Nothobranchius furzeri: one gene and its partner. The main gene of each other region encodes a partner of the protein of the gene in region 2 in a complex. Links are inferred from orthologs where the notes say so. Each region holds a gene or a part of one and is shown on either strand. Other genes may lie near its edges.

Region 1 (4,697 bases), on a different chromosome or scaffold from region 2:
AAATAAAAACAGGTTCCCATGATCAACCACTACGAAAAGCTGTTTTGTTGTATATGAATCATTTTTCAGACATTAACTCTTTCATTAACACTTCGCCATGTCTCAGAATAAGATCAGAATCATCAAACCACCTCTGGATTTGTGGAGTTCTAAATAAAACATTAAAGTTGTCTTTAAGCTGAACCCAACAGAATTGTGTGGTTTTTTTCTGTCCCCCGGCAGGCGGACATCTGGTCTCTGGGCATCACCGCCATTGAGCTCGCCAAAGGTGAACCTCCCAACTCCGACATGCATCCGATGCGAGTCCTCTTCCACATTCCCAAATCTCCTCCTCCGACGCTAATCGGAGACTTCTCCAAGAGCTTTAAAGAGTTCACAGAGGCCTGCCTCAACAAGGACCCGTCCTTTGTAAGACCAACTAGTCAACTTTGTTTTCTGAGCTTCTGAAGCGAGGCTTCTGTCTTCAGCTGATATGATTTTATGCTGATGTTCCAGATGTTCTCGTTATTCAGCTTTACTAGTTAAGCCCCGCCCCTTTTATGCCAGATATATTCACCTGTTTGCAGAAAGATGTAGAGTTAAGTAATTCTGTTAAAACAGTCGTTTAAAATAAAATTTCAATAAAAACAGCAGCTTTATTGGGTATGCTGTCAGTGTTATTGTTGTTGTTTTGTTTTGTTTACTAAGGTATTTTATTAGTCAGGCTTTTAAGGACTTTTTGGGCTCAGATTGTTCATTTTTCTGCTACTTCCTTGGGTTTTATGACATTTGACACAGTGATGTGTTGCTGCCACCTAGTGGACTCACCAGCATTTTCTTTCCCCATTTTCTGAAAAATTTGTTTATCTAATAGCTCATTTTTATACATAAATGTAAAAAAAAGTTTCAAATGATGAACTTTTCCACTTTCCACGGTGTTTGAAGAGTTTATGCGTCAGTCTCAGTAAACCTGTGTCCTGTCTCACAGCGTCCCACAGCCAAGGAGCTGCTCAAACACAAATTCATCGTGAGAAACTGCAAGAGGACGTCTTACCTCAGCGAGCTGATCGACAGGTACAGGAGGTGGAAGGAGGAGGGGCACAGCGACAGCAGCTCCGACTCAGACAGGTGAGTTTTTAAATGTGTGTTCGTTTGGGTTGGAAGATGTCCGTGTGCGTTAAACAGTAAGACTTGTATTCTTGTGTGAAGTGAGCATGATAAAGAAAACAACGAGAGTCCTGAGTGGTCGTTCACCACCGTCCGTAAGAAGAAACCAGAGGGCAGGAAGGTCCTCAACGGAACGGTTAGTGCAGTCTGAAGAAAGGAGCTCTGTTTGTTTGTTTGTTTTAAATCAGACTTTTAACAGAGAGCAAAGTTATTTCTGGTGTCATCTATTTTATCTCTACAAAATTATGAATTTAAATGTTCCTCTGATTGTTTTTTGTATTTTCGATAAACCTACAGATGTTTTACTAAACATTAAAGCAGAGTGTAGAACTCCAGATGTGTTCATGATGATGATGATGATGAATTTACTAAAGTTTCTCTTTTTTTCTGCTGCTGATGTGAAACAGGCTCAGGCTCAGCTGAGTAAATCTGCCAGTCTGACCACAGTCATGTCTCCTGTCTTCACTGAGGTGTGTAGACACAAACACATACACACACGCATTAAATTCCTATTATCCTTCCTATCTTTATTATTCCTTATTTTTACCTATGTTTTTAATGTTTTGGGTGGTTTTCCCAGATTTAAGTGGTTGTTTCAGTAAAGTTCTAATTCCACCTCTTCTGTAGTTGAAGCAGCAGCACAAGGAGCACTCTGAGCAGCGATTGGCTATTGAAGAGCTAGAACGCAACATCCGATTGGCTGAAGAGGTGTGTCCGGGCATCACGGACCAGATGGTTGCTCACATCATTGCCAGGTACCAGAATATATTGATTTAACTTTTATTTGGTGAACTCATTTAAAGTTATTTACACAAATTAACAGAGACTAATTAAAACAAATGGACTCATTAGCAGCAACAAAAATGGCTAAACAAAATAACCTCTACTCGGCAAACCACTAATCGGTGAACCGCTTGGACAAAGAGCACAGATTGGCTAAAAGAGATTAAGACAAAGGCGGTCTAGGAGACAACAGAACAGAGACTACATCTCCAGCCTGCTGCTTGGTCTAGGAGTTTTGATTCTCGCTTTGGGTGCGAGAGGTCCCGGGTTCATATCCCGGATGAGCCCCCAATTATGTTATGACCCGTCTAGGAGCGGCCAGGCCGTAACATACTCGGTGGACCTACAAAAGAAATGAACCAACTGATGACCGAACTAACCTCCCTGACAAATAAAAACAGAAGAAAACTGGGTTAAAATTTAAAGCCAGATTACCCCTCCTCAGCCTAAAAGGTTTTCACAGATCACCACCCATTAGTTTTTATCTTTCAGATGCAAAACTTCAACCAATATTTAATGAGGTGGAATTTGTTTCTGCAGGATTTTAACTTGCAGATTAGATGTGAGAAGGGTAAGGACAACGTTCTGGCAGACGCCTTGTCGAGAGCTGTGTAAATGGTGAGAATAGAATAGACTTCATAAATCCCACAGTGGGGAAATACATTTGCTGCAGCATCACATACATTTGGAGAAAAAGAAGAAAAATAGTTACAAAATTACAGGTAAACACACAAAAGCTATAAGTTATTATTGTAACATTCAACCACTAAAAACAACAAATAAAAAAAACTTGGGTTTCCAAACCTGTGCAGCATAAGGGACACAGATATACTAATGTACATCTGGTATTGCACAAATGCAAACATGTTCACATACGTGTGTGTTTTAGTAGAATGAAACCGTTTTCTCCTGTATTGGTTAGTCAGGGAAGTATGTTTGGTTGTCATTTGGTTCATTTCTTTTGTAGGTCTGCTGGGTGATTTAAGTTAGAGGTGTTTTGTTTATTTTAGGCCCATGGTTCACCCTGAGCTTTTAATCCTCCCTTGCCCTTAGTTAAATGATTGAGTCCTTAATGTATTTGTAAATATTGTAAATAAATCTTTGTAAGTAGTCCTTCAGGTGTGGTTGCTTGGAATCTGCAGTGAATGGTAAACCAAACCAGGGGCGGATTTAGGACTGAAGAAGATCCGGGGCTTAACACACACGCGCGCGCACACACACGCGCGCGCACGCGCACACACACGCGCGCGCGCGCACGCACACACACGCATGCGCGCACACACGTGACACGCACTAGTCAACATCATATATATTTGTCTTGTACCACATAATGTTTAATCTGAAGCTACATATTCAGCATATTCAGGGCAGAGTATTGTTCCTGTTAGTGTTTAGTGTGAGATGATAGTGAATATTCCCTTTCTTTCTCCAACAACTTTACCTGATAGTAAGCTAACTTTAGGCAAACCAGCAGCACAACAAATATTTTCAAATAAGACTCACAAACCTGAGTCAACACCAGTCTCATCAGAGCTGGGGTTCTGTCGTTGTACTTTTGGTCTAAAAAAACGTCCTTATATCCATCTTCACTCATGCGTTTCAGACAGAGACTGCAGAAGCCAGCTGCTGAAGGGCTTCTCTTCAGTCTCAGGTAAACTGTATACTGACTAAGTAGCCTAGTGGTAGAGTGTCTACCCTGAGATCGGGAGATCAGGGGTTCGACTCCTGGTCGGGTCATACCAAAGATTTTGAGAAAAATGGGACCCAATGCCTCCCTGCTTGACACTCAGCATTGGATCGGGGTTGGATTGGGGGGGTTAAACCACCAAATAGTTCCCGAGCGCGGCGTGTCTGCAACTCAGGGGATGGGTCAAAATCGGAGAATAAATTTCACCACACACCTGTGTGTGTGACGACTAAATGGGACTTTACAAACTACTGCCAGCTGCGCCCTCTCTGTGTGACTTTGGTACTGCATGTTACTTCCGCGATTTAGATCCGGGGCTTATCATGAAAGATCCGGGGCTTCAGCCCAAGTAGCCGGGCCTAACGCCGCCCCTGAACCAAACCTTTGTTACGGCCCAGCTGCCCCTAGACGGGTCGTAACACTTTTGGCCTCGCGTGGAGCCGAGTTGATATCATCTCATCATGCTTTCTCCTGAACTCTGGTTTATTTCAGATACACGACAAACTGAAGGACAGTTTAAAAGGAAAGTAGGAAGAGATGGTCTTCATATGGGGGCACTGCTGGATGAAGAAAACAGGAGATTTGCTGTGCGATGTCTCCTCTCTCCACACACACACACACACACACACACACACACACACACACACACACACACACACACACATCCCAACACACACACTAGCATTGTAATATATACACTATATTTTATAGCCTCACTGCTGCTGTTTGAGGATTCCCCCCTCCCCACAGGTTTAGTTTGAAACTAAATTTTTAAATAAAATGGTCTGGATGATTGAAAATACCATAATGTGCCTTACTTTATTTTTATACCTTTTTTCCCTCTTATTTTGTACATTTTTTGTCCAATCCACACCAGAAAGTCTGACCCAGCAGTCCGTCAGCAGCAGTAGCCTCCGTTTAGTTTGATGTAAATGTTTGTACGTTTGTTCAGCAGCACTTGAGTCAGATCATATGCCAATGTGAGTTCTCAGTAACAGTTTTTAATTATAGCCCCCCCACACATCGGTTTCTGTAAAGGTCCAGTCGCCCCTCCCAGTGATCTTTAAATCACTGGAGATGA
Region 2 (5,895 bases):
CAAACATGCAATCAAGTTAGCAAACATATGATATAATGTTACTTACTTCTGTTCGCGGGAGTCACGGGTAACAATGGGATGCCTCCGCTTCAGATGCTCCCACATGGACGTTGTGCTGGTGTGATAAGCCAATTCCGTGGTGCAAAGACTGCAAATAACGGCACTTTTACGTTTTGTGCTCCGTTTAAAATATTCCCACACCTTTGAGGTAGGGCGCCGGGGTACCTGAGACATTGCTGCTGAGTCTGAGTCTATCAGATGAACGGAGTTTTGTTCTCCGCGCTGCTCTGTTTTGGTCACGTGGTGCGTCGACTTCCGGATTTGACGTCGACGTTTTTTTAGAATCGAATCCTCGACGTCATCGAAGCGTCGCTACAGGCCTATCAGACAGAAATGCAACAGACTTCAGACATCACACAACATAAGTGTCCACTAGGTGGGGTGGTGGGTTCGGGACTCTCCACACGTCAGTTCCTGCAGCCACGATGAGCAGCGCATGTCACCTCAGTCTGGACAGGGGGAGGGAGTTCGTTGAGGTTTGGAGGGCACGGTGACTCCTGGAACGATTCGGCGGCCTTCACAGCCCGCGGTCCCGCCCAGGCTGGGGTAGGAGACAGAGTTGCCATAGCGACTGCAGTTGTAGCGTCAGACCTGTCCAAGGTGTCCCCTGCTTTTCGCCCGTTGACTGCTGGAGGTATTCACCAGCTCTCCACCACCCCACTGAGCATGAAATGGTTAAGATACTGACAGAATAGTCAGACTTTGTTCCAAGCACCCAGAATCCGTTTTGGTTTAGTTTCTGCAGGTCAGCAACGGCGAGAAACAACTTTGGGTTTAAATAAGAAAGAATTAAGACCCTGTGTGATTTAAGCACAGCAAGAACATTTGCATACTGAAAACAATTGTACTGAAACTATTGAATTTCCCTCTGGGATTAATAAAGTATGTTTGAATTTTGAATTGAATGAATATTTGCACACATACCTTTTTGCATAAGTCTTATTCAAACCAGTTCAGAGTCAGAGTAAAAATTTAGCTTTTTTTTTTTTGCTCACATTTTAGTTTTTCTGAGTCATCAGCAGCCAGATCCCTGAGAGATAACTACTCAGATAACAGATAGTGGTTATAATATATTCTTCTCATGCTCATGTGTTCGGTGCTTCCATAACAGTAGTTTTTTTTTGTCTCCCTCTGTCGTCTGCAGAGTACCTGCTTCTTATTATATGACTGTAGTAATGCTCCAGTTCTCATTTTATTTGCTCTCCTCTCTCCTCATTTCTATTCATGAGAGCTTTTCTAAACGCAGAACCCTTGAAGTGTTGATGAATTAGGGAAGGTGAAGGAGGAGGGAGAGCGCGGCTCACCTGCCTCCCCATCACCCTCTCTGAACCAGCTATGACCCACTTTGAAGGCATCTTCATTTCTCCATCTCACCAGATCGACCCCCTTCGGGTCCTCTGTGAGCAGACAGTTTCTAAATATCAAAGCAAGCTTAGAATTAGAGGTCCAAAGGTTGTGTGGTGTCTTTTCACCGTGTCACAGGACACAGTGGAGCAAAGATCAACCACGTGTGTGTCAGAAGACAAGCTCAGGAATGACACGTCTCGTTTTAACATAGGAAGGCTCTTCCACAGAAAGCAGTAGTGATTCCAGGTTTAACTTCAACGATTAAAGCTTTAGAGCGACTGCCTGACTGTAACTGTCGTTCGACTCCACTCAGGTGTTAAGACTGTGTTTAGTTTCCAGGCCATGGTGATGCAGGAATGTCCTTGTTTACTTAGTGTTGGGTGGGTGTGCTGATTTGTGTCCTCCTCTTCTCCTTCAGATGAGGCCAACGAAAACGAGACTTCTGGATCACTCAACAATCAGCTGTCCTGGAAACAAGGCCGGCAGCTCCTCAGACAGTGAGCTCTTTTATTTAAAGCTGACGCTTTACTCCGGACAACCTCCTGAATCTGTTAAATAGAAATACCAGCGTGTTGGCAGGCTAACGTCCTCGCTTCTTGTAGAGTTTGTGAAACGGACTGTGAGGCCAGTGGTTCTGTGAGCAGAAAGGGTAAAAGCTGTGGTGAGCAGCACCCTCACATGGACGGCTGCTGCTGTTACCACGGAGTCGGAGTCATTTCTGTGGTCCTGCTCTCCAGTCTGTCTGTTTAAATAAAGTGACGTCATCGCCAAGCACAATCACATCATACCCTAACACACTATGTTAAAGACGGCTCGGGATGGTGGCAGAAAGGAGCTGCATGCTGATTGGCTGGTTTACCTTGATGGCTCTGTGGCGCTACCCGAAGCCGTGTACCCACATACCTCAACAGGAAAGCTGTGGATCTTTGTTGGTCTAATCGTGTTTTTAAATGATGTCACACGGTGCTGACCTTGTACCGTCGGTTAGCACTCAGAGTTCGTGTTGTAAATGTCTCTCAGCTACTAGCACACCTAGCTTAGTATCCATAAAATTATCACCATGTTCAGTTGTAGGTGTATATCTAACGGCTGCTGTCTAAAAGTCATCCACTGGGTCTTGGTCAGAAACAACACGAGTTGCAGGTGTAACCAAGCGTGCGACCACCACTTCACTGCCTGCTGGTAATCTAGTTCACCCCGTTGCAGGTACCTGCAGGAGGTCGGCTACACAGACACCATCCTGGATGTGAAGTCCCAGCGGGTCCGAGCTCTGCTGGGACTTGCCGGAGACGGAGGCGGGAAAACGGGTGAACGGATGAACACGGAGCCTTCGGTCAACGGAACAGACTCAACGACTAAGGGCATCGGCACACCAGGGTAGGTGTCCTCAGCTTAAAAGTGTGTTGAAGCTGAAATGATGGTTTCTTTGTGAGAGTTATTTCTTTAGGGATGCTAGATAATGCTTTAGGTTCCGGTTGTTAGCATTAGAGCAAAGTCCGTCATTACCAGATTCATGTTTCTAGTAGAGGTAGAAAACCTTTGTTGAAGTACAGTGATCCCTCGTTTATCGCGGTAGATGCGTTCCAGACCTGGCCGCGATAGGTGAAAATCCGCGAAGTAGGGACACCATATTTACAGTATTTATTTAACAGGTACGTATTCAGTATTCAGACTTTTAAAACCCTCCCTTTACATAGAAAATTTTTTAACTTGGTTTTTTATAGTTTTATTACAAAAAGTGCATTTTTTGATGAAAAAAAACAGGAATTTCTTGATATTTCGCATAGAAAATACCGCGAATCGGCGAATTTCCCTTGAATAAGGCTCCAAAGAAAAAATCCGCGAAGTAGGGACACCATATTTACAGTATTTATTTAACAGGTACGTATTCAGTATTCAGACTTTTAAAACCCTCCCTTTACATAGAAATTTTTTTTACTTGGTTTTTTATAGTTTTATTACAAAAAGTGCATTTTTTGATGAAAAAAAAAACAGGAATTTCTTGATATTTCGCATAGAAAATACCGCGAATCGGCGAATTTCCCTTGAATAAGGCTCCAAAGAAAAAATCCGCGAAGTCGTGAATCCGCGATAAACGAACCGCGAAGTAGCGAACGATCACTGTATTTGAACATAAAAACAGGGGCGATAAGAGGCTTCGCTCTCCAAATATGCAATGAGCATAATTTGAAAGGCATATTTTCATGTTTAAAAAGCTTAAACGCGTCCACACAACTGATGTCATCCGCTGTGTCTTCTGTCTTTTTTTTATTTTATTTCTGGACACAAATTTTTCCTTTTTTGACAAAAGTCCTGCCCTGCTCAAACATTAGCTGTTAGCGCGTCCAGCTGCTACCGAGCTGCACGGCTCCATTCCAGCCACATGATTGGTCCAACGCAGAGCAGCTCTTACTACCACTTGCTACTCATCTGTTCTACAAACTGCATCGACCTGTTCTTGTGTATCTATTGACAAAAAATGATCCTGAGTTATATTTGTATCGTTTCATCGCCAGCAGAAATATTCCAGGAACATTTCAGGCCTTTCAGATGAACCTTGGTCCATTAGAAACGGGTACTGGATAAATCCTGGACACGTTGTTAATCTAACCAGTCGTAAACGTCCCCCTTCAGGAAAGCTGAGCTCTCCGACACTAGCGCCGTCCTGGAGGCCTTCAAATTCATTGAAAACGCAGCGGCTGAGTTCAGCGATGAAGATGAGGAGGAGGACAGTGAGGGGAAGGAGAGGACTAATGTGGAATCCAGGACTGTAAGACACTCGTCTCCCCTCGCCCTTCTGAACTGACACAATCGTGCCCCCCCCCCCCCCCCCAAAAAAAAAATCTTTTCTTATCATTTTTAGATCATGAGGAAGAAACCTCCTTCGTCATCATCACCAGCCAGTATGGACACCAGTGAGGACCCTGACGCCGAGGAGGCGCTGAAAGGCTTTGACTTCCTGTCCAGCCCCGACGAGACGGACACCTCGTCAGAGTCCAGAGGGACTGGAGACGGCACAGACTGGGGTGAGTCTAAATGTCTTGATGTACTATTTATTTATTATGGATGCAGTTAGATTATTTAGCTCCTCTTGGACGATAAGTTCAGATACTTCATAAAATGATCTTAAGATGTTGTATTCTTGTTTTTGGAGCCGATCATGGAGAAGTCGTCATTCATTTTTCATGCTGTGGTCATAAATCACGACACCAGGAGCGTTTAACTCATAGTTTGTCTGTTTGTCCCCATATCCTGTTTGTGTCCACAATGTGTCTCCTGCCTCGTGTCTCCTCTGACCAAACCCCGACCTGTTCAGGTGTTTAAAATTTAAACAACTTAATTTGTCTCTCGACACCGACGCGTATGGAGAGAGAAGACACCTGCCGGCTCCGCTCCCAGTATTTAAGAACACTTTTACTCCTCTGGAGGGTTTGAGAGCAGCGCGACGTCCAGAGGAGTAAAACCCCTGAGAGGTGTCTGCTCTGCCAGGCCCATCTGTTCTCGACCGGGGCGCTTCCTCAACAGCCTCTCGGTCTGGTTTTCTCCCCCTTGTTTAGAAAAGGACAAGCAAGGTCCCATTTCTGAGACCTGGGACGTGGACCCGGTCCTGATAACCGAACTCAAGGAGCAGTACAAAAAGGAGCGCAAGGGGAAAAAGGGGGTGAAGAGTAAGTCCTGTCAGGCACTGCCGCCTCCCTCCCTCCCTCTCCTCTCTTTACAGAGTCTGACTTTCCAGCCTAAAAGCCTCAAACCAAAAGCAAAGCCTCTTCATCGTTCTTCTCTCTCTCTAGCTCTTTTCCTCTTGCGTGCCCCCCCCCCCCCCTTCCATTTCCTCATTATTGCTTGATGCATGTTTGTCTGTCCCACTTGTTTCTCCTCTCCTTTGCATCACACCATCATGGCGTCCACACTGTTGAGTATCAGCGGCACTCGGCTGTCCGCCTGAGTCCCTGTCATCTGTTTCCGTGTCTTTAGTCATCGTAACATAATGATCACCATCTTTTTTCTCGTCTGTCAGACGTGTTGATGCTACAGTAGAGAGATCATTAAGCTGCGGGTTAACCGACAGATATTAAGATTTTTCTCTCACATTTGGACCAGCTCTGCTCTCTCCCTGCTGCGACTGATCATGAGATCAACAACTTGCTCCATCCCTCTTGACTCCAGCGCCTCTTTTCTTTTACACTTTATTTTTTTTCTGCTTTTCTTATTTAATTTCTTTTCCCCTCTTTGCCTCCTTGGCGCTTTATCGCTTTGGTGGGTGTGTGGAGATCACAAGGAGGGAGTTTCTGGAAGAGTTTGAGTAAAATTGAATATTTAGCAAATATTTAAGCTCATTTTTGGGGTCTTGCTTGAACATTTTAGGTGGGTTTTTGTAATTGGAGAGGTTTTGATTAGCAGATGACATCATTTCTGTTTGGGCTTGATATTTCTAATATATTTTAATATTTTTCTTTTGGTAAAATATTTACAAAAAATCAGTTGAGA

Evidence for each region. Proteins that work in one complex are often made in the same cells at the same time.
Region 1: striatin (region 2) and stk26 share a complex: the UniProt entries of both Homo sapiens proteins name them as parts of the core of STRIPAK complex. The link is inferred for Nothobranchius furzeri from reciprocal best matches to the Homo sapiens genes STRN and STK26.

What each region holds. Positions count from the first base shown.
Region 1 is NC_091742.1:86,850,727-86,855,423, forward strand, and holds part of stk26 (serine/threonine-protein kinase 26), read left to right. Parts: intron 1-222; coding exon 223-408; intron 409-967; coding exon 968-1,107; intron 1,108-1,188; coding exon 1,189-1,282; intron 1,283-1,553; coding exon 1,554-1,616; intron 1,617-1,773; coding exon 1,774-1,901; intron 1,902-4,108; coding exon 4,109-4,124; 3' UTR 4,125-4,697. UniProt on the Homo sapiens protein: Serine/threonine-protein kinase that acts as a mediator of cell growth. Modulates apoptosis. In association with STK24 negatively regulates Golgi reorientation in polarized cell migration upon RHO activation.
Region 2 is NC_091752.1:1,682,677-1,688,571, reverse strand, and holds part of striatin, read left to right. Parts: intron 1-1,825; coding exon 1,826-1,904; intron 1,905-2,613; coding exon 2,614-2,784; intron 2,785-4,041; coding exon 4,042-4,177; intron 4,178-4,270; coding exon 4,271-4,433; intron 4,434-4,964; coding exon 4,965-5,075; intron 5,076-5,895. UniProt on the Homo sapiens protein: Calmodulin-binding scaffolding protein which is the center of the striatin-interacting phosphatase and kinase (STRIPAK) complexes.